Linked DNA regions of Schizosaccharomyces pombe. The protein of the gene in region 1 interacts with the protein of each later gene in a biochemical or structural test. Each region holds a gene or a part of one and is shown on either strand. Other genes may lie near its edges.

Region 1 (7,172 bases):
CCCGTTATACTGCTTAGTACACTGTTACTTTTAGATTTGTTTACGAATCCGAAATACGTTAATAACTTTAGTGTGCGTTATCGACGAAAGGTTTATCATTATATGTATAAAGGTACAATGTTTGTAATTGAAGCTACTTGAATTGCTTTAATTGTGGTTGTATGATTAGCTTTTCATATTAAATGCTTTTTTTGATACTTACTTGATGTTAAGTAAGTGGTTGATGGATAAAATAATTTTACAACGTGTTTACCACTTATTTTAATGATTTAGTAAAGTCAATGATACTAAAATGTGTAATATATTTACGAAGACAAAACTTGTGTATTAAAACAATCACAGAACCCCCGAAAGCCAGAACTCTTTTTGTTAATGTTAGTAGAAACATATTTTGGTTTTCCTTTCAGCCATATTTTCGAGAATAGTTTTGCTAGTTAGGAAATCGATTACTGCTTTTCGTGATTCTTTACTCGTAAGAATGCTGTTATTTTTTATGTCACGAAATGAGTAATCTAGTATAATGTATTTTAAATTTTCGCAAGTAAAACATTCTAAAAATGTTAGTATTTTAAGGAAAATCATAAACCAAAAGATTTAAGGCAATACGTACCGTTAGTCAATTGGGCAATTCTAGGAGTAGTTCCTATACCAACACCTATTTTGTTTGCTTTACAATAATTTATGTGTTCCTCTAATCGAATATGTTTTCCGAAAAGCTTTGCAACTTTGAAATTTTTGTTTTGTAATGATTTCGTTGGTTTCAAAACGTCGATGGCACGTAATGCAGATATGCATAGGACAAGAATCTCAGGATTACTGTTTTGAACAACTTTTTTAGTAAAACCGGGAAGATGTTGAATGTATTCTGGATAATTGTCTACTGTTTTAGGTTTGCTGAAGCTGATCGTATCTTCAATGTAAGATGCTTATAGTGAGTTAGTAAAGTGAAGTAAAAAAAAAAAGAATAATAAGCAATTATACCTTTAATCACTTTATCTGACAATTCTACATCGGTAAGATCACTATAAATGCTTTTTATGTAATTATTTAACAAATCGGACAGCGTGTCTGGACTCTGGATGATTGAAGCGTTTGTGTCTTGTAGTTCTAACAATTTAGCTCTTTTCCTTTCCTTTTGTTTTTGGCGTTGTTTTTTTCTTTTTTCACGTTTCGCTGAATCGTTGTTTTGAGAAGCAGTAAAATTTTCAGTTATTGTAGTAGGTTGTGCAGATTCTTCATCCGAAACTGAAATTTCTGAAACTAAATCTACCTGATAATCAAGTTGATCATCCAAAGCATCAGCGTCTGTTGTCGTGTAGCTCATAATTGCATGTTTTAAAATTTTGGTGTTAGGGATACGTTCAGTTCGTGGACCGTCGAATAGTACAGGAAAAATGTAAAAAAAAATATAAATCTATCGTTTACAAAAATATAGAGTATTTGAAGGTCTATATAGAAGAAAAAAAAATAAAAGGAATTCATTTGGTTTATAAAATCGTAGATAATTTCCATTATTACGTTATGAAGGTTGTCTAAACTATGGATTAAAATTGTGAACGGAATTGACAGTAAAGAAAAGAATGAATTTGTAGACAAACAAAAGTTTAGGATAAAAACAAGGTAAGGAAAGGGATAAAAAGGGGAAAGAGGTGGAAGCATACAAAATCCAAGAAAGAGAGAATAGTGTCAAGTGTGCTTTATTGACGCAAAGGAAAAAAATATAAAAAGAGAAAAAAAAGATGGTAAGCAGTAAATAATACAGAAAATGATCTTTTAATCGTAGTCAAAAATTGTGAAACAATAGTCGATAAGAATTTCGATAGTTCTAGAGAAACTGCTAATTTCTGGGATAGTAGCTTGCTTAATGATAGTAGGTCCCCAAATAATGGCCAAATTGTTTGTCGACATTTTGTTTACATCGCTGTTTTCTTTAATTTTAGCAAGATGTATGGTTAAATGACGAATGGTAGAGTAGTTGGCATCGGGAAGATCGTTGATCGCACGATGGACGGCATCTCTTCTTCTGGATTCGTCTTCAACGTTACCTGCGTCGATAAAGTCTCTTTGATGATTGTCGGGAATTAACGGTTCACGTAGTTCACGGAAAAAGATTTTTAGTAGATCAGCGACTGCATGAACGTCGTTTTCATAGTCCTCAGGTGTATGTAATTGTAAGAGAGGATTATTCTCAAATTGAGAACGTAACATGTTGACACGGGCGGAAGAGCTGGGAACACGGTAGATGCCCTGGAGGTTGAGACCAAAATTTTCGACTTGGGAAGTGCATTGCATTACGATGTTTGGAATGTTGGAATGTTCTCGTAGAATGATTGCGTCTAATCGAGCACCAAAGAGTAACGATTTCGTAGGAGAGGAAGGTTGAGGGGAGACAGAAGTTGGTCGGAAGGGAGATGCAGCACGGTTTGAGTTGATGCTAGAAGGCGGTGGTGCGACTTCTCGAGACGTTTGAATCGTTGTCGTCTGGATGGGAGGTAAAGTAGGAAGTAGTACGGGAGGTGATTGTTGGGCAACAGGGGGCTTGTTTTCTGCATTAGAAGCGAGTGGAGAAGAGGTACGAGGATTGGAAGAAGAGGATGAAGAAGAACCGTTTGTGTCATTGGCGGTACTAGGTTTTAGGGTAGAAGCCAAAGGAGAGGCTGAAGCGGGAGCAGTAGAGGGATTGGAAGTAGATGAGTTTGGGAAGGCAGGGGAAGCCACAGAAGGGTTGGGAAAAGTGGATGGAGCAGGATTAGTGTTTTGTAGGGGAGAGGGAATAGCAGCAGTAACCTTGATGGTGGGGTTGACGGGTGGATTGGTTTTTCCGGCAGAGGAACCAGTTCCGTAAGAGCTTGGAGGTTGAATGATTTTTGTTTTAGAAGCGTCGGTTGGATTTTTGTTATCTTCATGCTTGATGGAGGCGTGAAGGACGTATTGAACAAAATCGGTATTTGCATTTATATTATCCAAAGCATGTTGTAAACCACAGTTGGTAGGAGTGGGCTTTTGTGGACGGATTGTGAGACCGTTGAGCAGGGTGTTTGACTCGCAGAGCTTTGTGTACCGTAGATAGTTTGCAATGAGTGAGCTTTCAATTTCGCGTTGAAGGGAAAAGAATTGCTTTATGTAGTTTGGTCGGTGAATACACAAAAGTTGTTTTTGAACGTTTTGAGCGTTTTCAATCTTACTGTGCATATCTGATTCTGCATTTTCGGCCTTAAGGCGAGCTTCATCTTCGAGTTTGGTGAGCTGAGCATTAGATTTTGGTTTAAAAAAACCAACCTTCTTCTGGGAGTCTCCAGTGTTTTTGTTGTCGAGAGCGCGGTTGTACTCGGTTTCGGCACCCTTAAAGCGAGATTTGGATTTATCCATTTGCATAACGGCTTCTAAATATGCGTTTTCTTGTTTTTTCGCATATTCCTTGATGGATTTTCGTTTGCGTTCTGCGTTTTTGTGAAATTCGATGACTTGATCGGAAAATGCAGAAAGAGTTTTTTGAAGGGTTAAACTGTGATTGGCAAGTTGTTCATGAATTTCCATACTCGTAATGACAGAGGCGGAAAAAGATTGGGGAGAGTGGTGTTTGGATTGAAACGTCTCTAGGTAGGATTTAGCAAGTTTTTGTAAATTTTTTCCACTTTCTTCTTCGAGAATGGAACGCTTTTTAAAGAATCCGGCGAGTTCTTTGCAAGTGAGGAGGTAGTCTTTAATGCGATCATTTAGGATTGCTAGACCAAGTTCCGAATTGAGGATCGCTTCGACTTTTGGTTCTTTGAGAACTGCGAAATCATCAGAGGAAGTGGTATTTGGAGGCGATGTTGGTGGGGAAGCGGGAGTGGTAGAGGAGGAGGGAGCCGACAGCATTGAAGGAGTTGAGTGATGGGCGGGAGCAAGAGAAGTAAATAGAGTGAGAGAATAGAAAGAGTAAAAATAACAAAAGAAGCGCGGTAAACGCGAAAATATATAAAATCACTTGAGCAAGCAAAGAATGATAGAGGAAAGAAGGGTGAATTCTTTGTTTGTAAGGAATTGGTAGTGGGTGGTTGGTTTGAGTAGTATAGCGAGTATAGAGGATGTAAACGAGGAAAGGGTAAGGAGAGGACGGTAGAGGAAGAGATAAAGAGGATTAAGGAGGTATGAGTAGTTCAAATTACGGAGATGTAACGAAGCTAAAAGTTTGGAATTGGGAGGTTGAGTGTGGGGGATGAAAATGAGTTTAAGATAGGAAGGTAAAGGAAAAGAATAAAATACAAATTGCGTTGTATAACGTTTCTGCCATACCCTTTTTAAGTGGGATGAAGTATAGTGAGGGAGGGTTGAAAAGGAAGGAAGAGTTGACTGTGGTATTCGAGGTAAGTGTCATACCCTTTCCAAGTGGGAGGTAGAGATACGTGGGGGTAAAGACTGAGGTGAGTAGGAAGGCGGTAAGGGGAAGAAGGGTATAAGGAGAAAGAGTTGATTGTGTTATTTAAGGAAAAGTGTCATACCCTTTCTAAGTGGGGGATAGCAAAATAAGGAGACAGAAAGTTGGTTGCGTTATTCGAGTAAAATGCCATACCCTTTCCAAATGGGGGAGAGGATTAGGTGAATGAAAAGAACAAATAAGTAGGATTATTCTATTGCAAGTTGTTTGTAATACTTTTTTTGTCATGAACGAATATGTAAAAACAATAATAAATCCTTAGAGCCTACTGTTAATATAATAACATTATGTTTATTCTATGACTACAGGTTTGTCAACATGTTTTATTGCGACTGTTTAATTTTTGTATTTGTTATACCGATATATTTTTAATCAGTATTATATTTTCTTAAATAACTTAATAACGAACTTGACAATGAAACGTTCCTAATTCTCATTAGACGGGAATTCTTTAGGGGACCCCACATTAAGTGGGATGAGTGCTTGCTTTGTTGTAGTAGCTATGGTAACTATTTCTTTGTTTGGGTAGGAACAAAGAAAGAGAAAGGAGAGAAAATAGTGGGTTAGCCGTGAAAGGAAAAGAGAGTGAGAAGAAGGGTAGGAAAAGAAGAGAGAGTAGTTGAAGGAAAAATATTGGAAGAGGTAGTATTTTTCTGTATGCATATGCATATGCATTTGTATAGCATACAACCTTTAATTTAATAGCCATACAACCTAATAGCCAGAAACGCCTTCCCAATTTACTGAACCCTGCTTATATGTAGTTTATAATTGTTGTGTCTTTTTTTTACGTTTAAGTTGTAATTTGATGTTAGAATTTATTACAATGGATGCAAGTTTTAACTCAATTTGATCACATAGGATTTGAATTGTAAAAAGGTCTTCTGCTGACATTATTAGTATGTATTGTGCTTTAGATTAAATTATTGTGTTTTAGTGTATTTTGTTCCTTTGTTTTTGGGTTTCTTTGTTCTGTAAGTAGTTAAATACCCTCCACACTCTACACCTACCTTGCACTCACAACTACAATGGACTCACACCAAGAATTATCAGCGGGTTCCCCTATTTCCTACGACTTTTTAGATCCAGACTGGTGTTTTAAAAGATACCTTACAAAGGATGCTCTTCATTCAATTGAAACTGGCAAAGGTGCTGCTTACTTTGTTCCTGATGGCTTTACTCCTATACTCATTCCTAACTCACAAAGCTACCTGTTGGATGGGAATTCTGCACAACTGCCAAGACCTCAACCAATATCCTTCACATTGGATCAATGTAAAGTTCCCGGCTATATTTTGAAGAGTTTACGGAAAGACACTACGTCTACTGAACGTACTCCGAGACCCCCTAATGCTTTTATATTATACAGGAAGGAAAAACATGCTACATTATTAAAGTCTAACCCTTCCATCAATAATTCACAAGTTTCCAAGCTGGTTGGAGAGATGTGGAGAAACGAATCAAAGGAAGTACGTATGCGATATTTTAAGATGTCTGAGTTTTATAAAGCACAACATCAGAAAATGTACCCTGGTTATAAGTACCAGCCTAGAAAGAATAAAGTTAAAAGATAATAATGGTAATATTTATGGTATTTAATAAAGAATTTTGAAATTGATTTAAATATGCTTCTTAGAGTTACATTCACTGAAGATTATAATGTAATATTTTGTGTACCCCATTTGCGTTGAGTTATTCTATAGTAATTATTGTGTGTTCTATTAACGATGTATTGCGATTTATATCTGTTATGCTAACATAACGTAGTTCTAAGCACTGTAATGCCATACTGTTTTAGAGGGTGATGCTTCCTAAAATCTCCTTACATAAAGTAATACATGGATTTTACTGCCCTGATTCTATCGAAATATGCTGTTTTTTTTATTCGTTTTTATTTATTTTCAATAATTTTTTTGTAATATAAATGTATAGTCTTTCTCCTTTGTTTTCTCTCGTTCGTTTCCATGTTTCCAATTATGCTGTTCGTGTCATTCATTCTCCCTCCAATTTTCCCTTTTTGTGTGCGCCCTTCTACCTTCCCCTTCCCTCTAACGAGATATTTGCTTCGCTACGCTACGCACTCCCTACCATAATATACTCACTAATATTATACTTTCACTACATCTCATTACTCATTCCTACCATACACACTATACTTCAACACTTTCCTCGCTCAACCACTCCATCAACCATCCTCTTTCTCCCCATACATCTTGAACTCCTTACACCAATACTTCATATCCATTAGCCATTTTCCTTTATAAACATATATTAAACCTCATCCCAAATGCATCTACCCACTCTTTACATTCACATCCCTATTCCTTTAATATCTTACGTTCCACTTCCTCAACCATAGAGCATTCTTTATAAATCACTTTAATATGCTTTACTTCCACACACTACTGCTACCATTGCCTTGCACAGTACTCCCCTTACTCACACACCTTCAATCACACTCCTATCTCCATACAGGACCCAACATGTATTAAACATTATCCCCCTACACCATTTTCCCTCATCATCCAATATGTTTCTACTATTATCACACACCGTCTCTACCTCCCGCCAATTTTAACTGTCTTCATTTCCACCTACAACTCTCTATCCACACTTTCTCACCCTATAAACATTTAATACACTCCTACAATATACCATCCCATCCTATTATCATATATACTCCTCCTTCTCAGATCACATCCTCTCCAACTCCATTCACACATCTTTTTCTTTACACACCCTCACCCACGCT
Region 2 (7,951 bases), on another chromosome or scaffold:
AACTTGCATCCATAAAATTGTAGTATTTTAAAAAAAGAGAGGATAGTACATTCGTCTCGTTTCAACAAGCTTGAAAAAGTTGTAGTTGCCAAGTCATCAAAATACGGGGGATGATTTAAAGCTATCTTTAACACCATAAGCAGGTCTGATGTGAAAATAACTGCCGTGTGTTTTGATGAGACAGTTATATTGTGAAACAAAAATTCAATGAAATCTTTCCTATTCGCAACGGTAGCATCCTTGTACTCTACGAATGCATCGTCATAGTTTGATTCATACGATGTTATTTCATAAAACTGCTCAATCAGCAAATTTACATCGGGTGAGTCATAACTAAAATTCAATTCAACTTGGAACAATTTTCCCATTTCATTCAGTAGGAGTTTTTGAGATTCTGTCTTTGGCACAACAGAACATATGAAGAAAAGAGTTTGGCATCTAGTACGAAATAAGATGAAATTTTATAAAGAAAAATTAACGCACAAGACTGAAAACTGAAGTGAACCAAGTTGTCGGCAATAAGCTTAGTCATTACTTGAAACATTGAATAGTGAAATGCAAAAAGCATAACCAGGTAATCCTCATATAACTTTGACATAGGTGTCGATGCTATTTTAACAAGACTCAGGGTAATGATAGCATAATTCTCTTCTTTTTTAAACATGAAAGAGAAATGGTCTTCTTTAAATCGTTTAACGTATTCATCGCAAATTGACCAATCCACAAAGTAATTTCCTTTGGAAAGGATATAATATATTTTGTTCTTCAATTGTTGAGACATGCGAAGAATAGGCAACTGAACAAGAATCTTGCGCTGATCGTCCATGAAAGAAGAATTAAGCATCGATTCCCTCAGGTAACCTAATGAAGCAAGTCTAGCAATATACTTTGAAAAGAAGAAGTATCCACATGCTGCGAGATGATCAAGTAATTGAGCTGCCGCAACACATTCATTGTACTCCAGAGGATGCAATTTTAAAACAAACGACAATGTCAGATCCACAATTAAATTTCTGTCAAAATTGGCGTTGTCAAAAATTGAGGATACGATGAAATTTCGATCACCTGAAAAAATAGAACGGCAATTGATACACCAATGTAGTAAAAGAGGCACACCTGTATAAACTGGTAAAAGTTTAAACAAATCTTTAGCCAGTGTTCTCCAACCCACTGGAAAGGAAAGACATGAAATAATTTGCAAGAAGCGAATACTACTTGTGACAGGTTTGTACATGTACATGGCTTTTGAGTTTCTTTCCTGCATTATAGATAAAAGCGTGCTATAATTTGGAAAATCCTTCCATAATAATATAATAGTAGGTTTCAATTTGTCCCATTCAGTAGGAAAAAAGAACGACTCAATATTTTTTTGAGCCAAGGTAAATAAAAAATGAGATACTTTTTTTGAAAGCAAGCTAAACTTCAAAAGATTAGCAGGCTGGTCCACAATTAACTGTTGATAACTTTGCAGAATTGTGATAACACATTTACGACAAATATGGGTGTACTGGATCAGGCTTGTAGAAAAAAACTGTAAAGCAAAAAAGTGAAGACTAAAGGATTTTAAAGAAGAATCCCCTGAAAAGGAAACAATTCTTAATAGAAAATGTTTAGGCGAAACCAACTCTTCAGCCAGCAATCGACCAAAAAGCTTCAATAGGTAAGTGTAATCATCAGCGAACGAGTAAATATCAGCGTTTAGAAAAGACGAAATGAACGAAATTAAGAATCCCGCTGCAACATCAGTCCAATTTTTAACCCATTCTGTTATATCAGTTGTCTGGACTTTTCGTAAAAATGAACGAGCCTCATTTACTCCAGCGCATCGAATGAACCATATCGCTCGAGTAAAAGGGACTCGAAACTTCACCAACATTCGTAATATATCTTCTCCCCATAGACCATGTGGTATAGTTTTAATAAGAGAAGACAAGGGCACCATGGGATCAGATAAACCCTGCAACCAGCGGTCACGTCTAGACTCAGAAAGTGTAACTCTTGGTGGAGGACGAAACGGAGCGAATGGCTCATCAATTACTGCATCATTTTGCCGACCGAGCAAAGTAGAAGAATATCGTTTTAAATTTTCTAGAGTGCTTGATTTTTCAAGATGTTGTTGTAACAAACCCTGAGCAGATGCTCTATCACTTCGCACAGGTGGTGAATACCTGTGGCCTTTGGAAATAGCATCTCCTGCCAAAAAAGGAGCTCCGTCGACTGTCTCATCACGAAAATTTTTATCTGGAGCAGAAACTTTGCTTTGAAGTAATGTTAAGTACTCATCGTGTGAACTGGTCGAAGAATCAATATAGCAAATAGCTAAGGGCACCGCGTCATTAAAGCCTGGAGGGTTTGCTGAATCTCGATTGCTCATAAAGGATCAGAAAACACCTTTTTTGGAGCAACATATAAATATTAGTCAGATATTAAAAAAAAAAATGATTAGAGCTGGTAACAGAATGTTGTGGAAGTCCTTAAGCCAAGTTGGATTAGCAAATTAGATCCTTCTTCAAGAAACGTTTTCCAATTAAAGTTATTAAGAATCTAAGAGTAATGAAAAATTAAACAAGTTGGTTTTGAAACACAATGATTAGGTAAATTGTATTAATTGGCCTGTTGAAGTTAGCAATCATAAATTTCCACTTTTGTAAATACTAATATGTTAAATTTGAAGATTGATGTATTTGTTCATCATTCCTATTAGCTGATTAGATATTAAAAGTACTTTGATTTCTTCAACAAACGCTTCTAGGATTACGCGTAAGCCACATCAAAAACAATGAATATCTGCTACATTCTGAAAAGGTGTTTGCTTACAATTTTTGTGCTTAAAACAATAAATAACCTACAAGCTTGTGCTTGTTAACGTATGGGGCTGGCGAAGTCAATGTTATGCAGTGACTATGTGGTAGTCAGCAATCTACTACTATCCCTTCACCTCCAACTTTACGCATGAACAATAGTACATCAATAACGGTTTTATAAGTAAACAAAAAGCGAATTTTAGTCCATGACTATATATTTGAAAACTTAATAGGTCAATGGAAGAAAATACGGCTCAAAAGCAAAGTAATGCCACAGGCTTGCAACGACACGTATCAGGAAGATGGATTTCCAATGTTCCAAGTTATGAAGGTAATGAATGGAGTAGTGAAGAATCTGAGAGTGAGGATAAGGAAAGTAATCTCACCAGTAGTGAGAATATCGGAAAGAATCCCGAAAGGGAATTAAATTCTGACGGAACCGATCGCATTATAGAAGAAGAGGAGGAAGAGGATGATATTGAAAACGAGGCAAGTAGCTTTAGCGAGCAAAGTGAGAACGAGAATTATGACTTTTCATACCCTGGCACTTTTGTTTACCGAAAAGCAGCATCTAGTAGCCATGAGACGCTTGCTACTAAGGTTGTCTCCGCTGATGAAAGTGCACGGTTATGGGCCGAAAAGAGGAGATTTCTTTTACAGAAATTAGGAAAAGATCCAAATTCTAAGCCGATTGATTACAAATCTTCCATGGCATCTTCTAGCACCCGTTCATCTCAATCATCACAAGTTTCAGCCATTCAACCTCAAAGTCAAGATGATAATAGGGTCTCGGATATTCGACAAATGGAAAATCGAAGAGAGTTAAATGTAAAGAGGAGATCTGTTTCAAGTCCAGCAGAGGATCTTGCTATCCGTCCTTTAAGTTTCTCTAGGTATAAAAAGGCTGAAGAAATACCCGAGTCTTTACCTCCTATCAAGGGTAGAGATAGTTTTTCAAGTGTCAGAGAGCTCAATGAATCAAACGTATTTGCTCGTGCTCCAAATAAGAACCGATTCTCATTTGCTTCAGTTGCAGAGACTGGTAGTGGCTCCAATTTTTCCAGGGCTACCTCTTCCAGAAGTTCAAAAACTCGTAGCGTCGTATATGAACCTAATCATAGGCATACCAGCTTCTTTGGGGACACGCTTAGTAACCTATCTTCCTCGTTGAACGATAAGAAATCTCCTAATGACGATCATGCAGTACTAGATAGCGAATTAATGGAGCAAACTTTGCCGGACTCTGCCGAGGCGGTAGAAATTGCTAATAATGTGAAAGAAGATATTGTTTCTACCGCTAACGATGATGCCAATGAATTGGATAATACGAGTGAAAAAGCTACTTTGGAAACTAGTTCAAAGCCTGTTACGGAACAAGCAATTGAGCAATCTGAGGTTGTTCAAGAAGTCGAGGAGGGAGATACGAACATGACTACTAATACAATTTTGAAACCAACTGACGAAATTATTAATAAGGGTTATGCGTATTCTATAACAAGCTCACACTCGAATCATTCAAATGAGAAGTTTGAACAAATACCTAGTCCTGATGAAAAGCTTTCTCGAACAGATATTGACACTCATGTCAAGCAATTACAAACTACTAAGTCAACTGATAGCTTGTCTATTCCATTTGTTGAGTCTCCGCAGCAAAACCCAGAGGAAGAACTTTCGGACTCACTATCTAACGATTTTGGAATCGATGCTGAAAAGGAGAAGGATGAAAACCTCTCAAAACCGGAGCATCATCCATCTATAACTTCTGTAAATTCACCATTTCTTTATTCTCCTAGTAAGCAGCCCTCAGGTGAGTTGGATGAAGAAAATCTTAAACTACGATTACAAGATTCAGATGTGGATGATGAGGTAGCCACAATTCGTTCACTTAAACAAAATAATGCTACCAATTCGGAGGTTGAGACAGTTACGAACGATCCTTCTTTCTCCCAACAACCGGGTACTCATAGTCGTATTTTGCGAAATTTTGATGCTATCAGCTCTATCGATTCAATACCTGATAGCTTTTCTGACAGCGCTGTCGATTTGCCTGTCGATTCGTCAAAATATACCCTTGTTGGAAAAACTCAAAGTAATTCCAATCTACTTCAGGACAATGCTGAGAAACATATTTCAAAATCGAACCTTGAAAAAGTTGATGTGAAAGGAGATACATCACCCAATTCTGTCGAGCAAGGGATTGAACCTCAAGCTGCTTCTGTTGTTGGATCTCCACGCTCTTCTTTGGTTTCTAACAACTCCCTAGAGGAAGGAGCACTATTGAAAAACTCAGAAAGCTTGGAAAGTATCTATGGTTATCTTTCGGAGGAGCCCGATCCAGCTCTTACCAAGTTGAATACCGAAGACCCTTTTTGGACTAAGGGGTCATCTGACGATGAACATACAATAGCCTCTGTAGAACAAGACGTATATCCATATAAAACTAGTCTTCCAACTATTGTTGAAGCGACTACTTCTCACACTGAGTCAAGTAACTCAAAGGCTCCCGCAATTGAAGAAACGACAACTACAAAGGTCGAAGTGGTAGCTGCTCACGATGCAGTTTCAATATCCAGTAATTCCAGTACACATAAGTCTCACTCTGAACCATTAAATAGAGATGAGTTAGAAGTTGCTGCCTTAAGCCGTGGATCCTTGCCAGAACCTCCAAAACCCAACAAGCAAATAGTCGTTCAGGAAGAGGATCAACGAGACACACTATCTCTAAAGACAAGCACGACAGGTTTATCTTCTCATTCTAAAAGTGCTGAAAATAATTCAACTCAGCAGTCGACCACTTCTCCTAGCATTAACTCCGGTGCTTCAGCGGATGCTGTTTCTTCTGGAATTTCCAAAAAGGCTGATAATAGTGAAACTAATTTAAATTACTTTGCTACCTTAGATGCGTTTGTCAAGAGTCCATTGATGTCGTTCGATGGATTGGGTGAATTAGGTTCTACCGATCAACGTTACAACTTTTTCAATCAAAAGATTCAAGAATATTCAGCATACGATTCGGGCCTTGATAATTGGATTCAGTTTTGCTTAGAAAAAGATGGTGAGGCTCCAAAGGAAGCTCCTCCTCCTCCTCGTTCTGAGCCAGTTTCAACTACAACCAAACTTGCCAAAAGAATTACGCAGCCTTCGTTGAGTCCTGCAAGGTCAACTGTTACTATAACTCACAACATTGCTACTGAAGCAAAAAAGAAGTCTAAATCTGCTGCTAATGATATTTTACATTTGTTTAAGAAGAAAGCAAAAAGTGAACAATCAAACGCCAAGTCGTCATCTAGCTCTATCAAAGAATCCAAAAAGATGAAAACTCTTTTCGGAAAAAAATTGGGATTCAAATCATAAATCTTTTGCATACACTTTTTACCTAACTTTTTTCTCTCTTTTGTAATTTTCTAATTTATGTATTGTTTACGAAGCATTGCATTTCAATCAATAAGATTTTATCTAAATATTGTTTCATTTTCGTATTGCGCATTTTTGTGAAACCATTTAGTTATTTTTATCAGACGATGAGTTAAAATATCAAGCATATTCTGGTTTTGCTGCCACTTGTCTAAACCAAAATAAGAAACTGGACGAAAAACTTTCGACAAATTCAGGCTAGTACACAAAACAAAACAATCGAAATTAAATATTCATCATTTTTTGGGATATTCTTTCGTTTTCTTGGTGTTTTAGGATTCTGAGTACGCTGCTTTCAAGCTAAGTTTCATTAAATGGATGTCGGCTGAAGAATACATTGAGGTATCATCTTCTCCTGATATATTCACGGACGTATGAAAAAAATATGATATTCTATAGCAAATGATTAGAAATATTACATTGAACTGAAGTAAATGTATATTAACTGAGCTTTAGGATGATGACATGATAACAATAGAGCCAGAGCTAAACAAAAACCCTAAAGATTGTAATAGTAAACGAAAAAGATCTGTTACTGAATGTTGTGAAATTAGGCTGATAACTTCTAAATGTGATTTTGAGTCTACTCAACAGCTTGTGCATCACAATTGTACGGGACATAAGGTTCATGAGCACAACTTAAACGCTGTGGATGAAGAAGATTTTGATACTGAAAATCTCCCTCTTCTTTTTTCTTCCTTTAGCGACAATGAATCAGATATCTTAGAACCCGATCTTAACACTCGGGTAGCTGAAGATAATGATGTCCTTTTATCTAGATACAGCAAAATTAAAAATAGTGCTTCATGCAGAAATACTTTCGAGCACTCTGCATATCACTCAAATAGGGAAGAAATATCTTCTAGTGGTTTTTATTACCATAGGAAGCCTCAATTGTTCGAAAAATCTTTAGAGAAGTTAGGAAATAAATCAATTGAAGCCAACAGGAGTCCTCTTATAAAAGAACTTTGTGAATCGGCTAATTCTACTGAAAACGTTTGTTTTTCTGTTTCCACCGTTGATGAAATTCAGCAAAGGCATCCAAGCGCCGGTCATTCAATAGACTCAACTTGTCAGTCAAACTCGTTTCTTGAAGGCGATAGTGCTACACATAAGAAAAAAAAAACGGACAATATTAAAGAGTTTACTTCATGTGAATTTAATGACCGTAGCAGAACCCTGTTAAACTATGCCGGTTACATGGACACTAACAAAAACGCTGATAATGAAGCTAAATCATTAAAAGAAAAGTTGGAGAATTTTCCGGTTGAAAAATTACGTGCTATAGCGGAAAGTTATGGCTTCAAATCATCAGATTCGAAAGCAACTCTCATTAAGATAGTAGAATCTTGTTTGGATGCAATCGATAGCCGATCTCAGTCTAAAAAATTAGGCAAAGAAACTCCCCATGATTATTTGATAACTTCTACTAAAACAGTATTGGAGTTTGATGATATAGTGACACAGACTCATAGAGCAATTTCGCAAGTTGTTAAGCAAGCCAAAGACAATAGTGTGTGGATTAAAATTCTTACGTATTCTGCTATTGATGTGGAAGAATTTCAACTTTGGCTGAAGCGGAAAAATTTAAATGTTTCGCTAGATCTTATAAAGTCTTGGTGCGATAAGTATGGAGTACTCATGAAAGGGAGTTGGCATTAGCTAGCTAATCAGTGATTTTTGAGTGAAAATTGATGGTTTTTAAAGCAAAACAATATCATTTTTACAAAAAG

Evidence for each region.
Region 2: the proteins of rga7 (region 1) and rng10 form a complex in vitro, tested with the Schizosaccharomyces pombe proteins (one study listed by BioGRID).

The regions. Positions count from the first base shown.
Region 1 is NC_003423.3:2,109,034-2,116,205, forward strand, and holds rga7 (Rho-type GTPase-activating protein Rga7), read right to left. Parts: upstream 4,043-7,172; 5' UTR 3,862-4,042; coding exon 1,774-3,861; 3' UTR 1,452-1,773; downstream 1-1,451. Other genes in the region: cms1 (U3-containing 90S preribosome complex subunit), read right to left, coding at 376-551, 611-925, 982-1,324; mat1-Mi (M-specific transcription factor Mi), read right to left, coding at 5,186-5,314; mat1-Mc (M-specific transcription factor Mc), read left to right, coding at 5,449-5,994.
Region 2 is NC_003424.3:3,117,586-3,125,536, reverse strand, and holds rng10 (protein Rng10), read left to right. Parts: upstream 1-2,928; 5' UTR 2,929-3,041; coding exon 3,042-6,158; 3' UTR 6,159-6,318; downstream 6,319-7,951. Other genes in the region: structure-specific endonuclease subunit Slx4, read left to right, coding at 6,537-6,590, 6,675-7,880.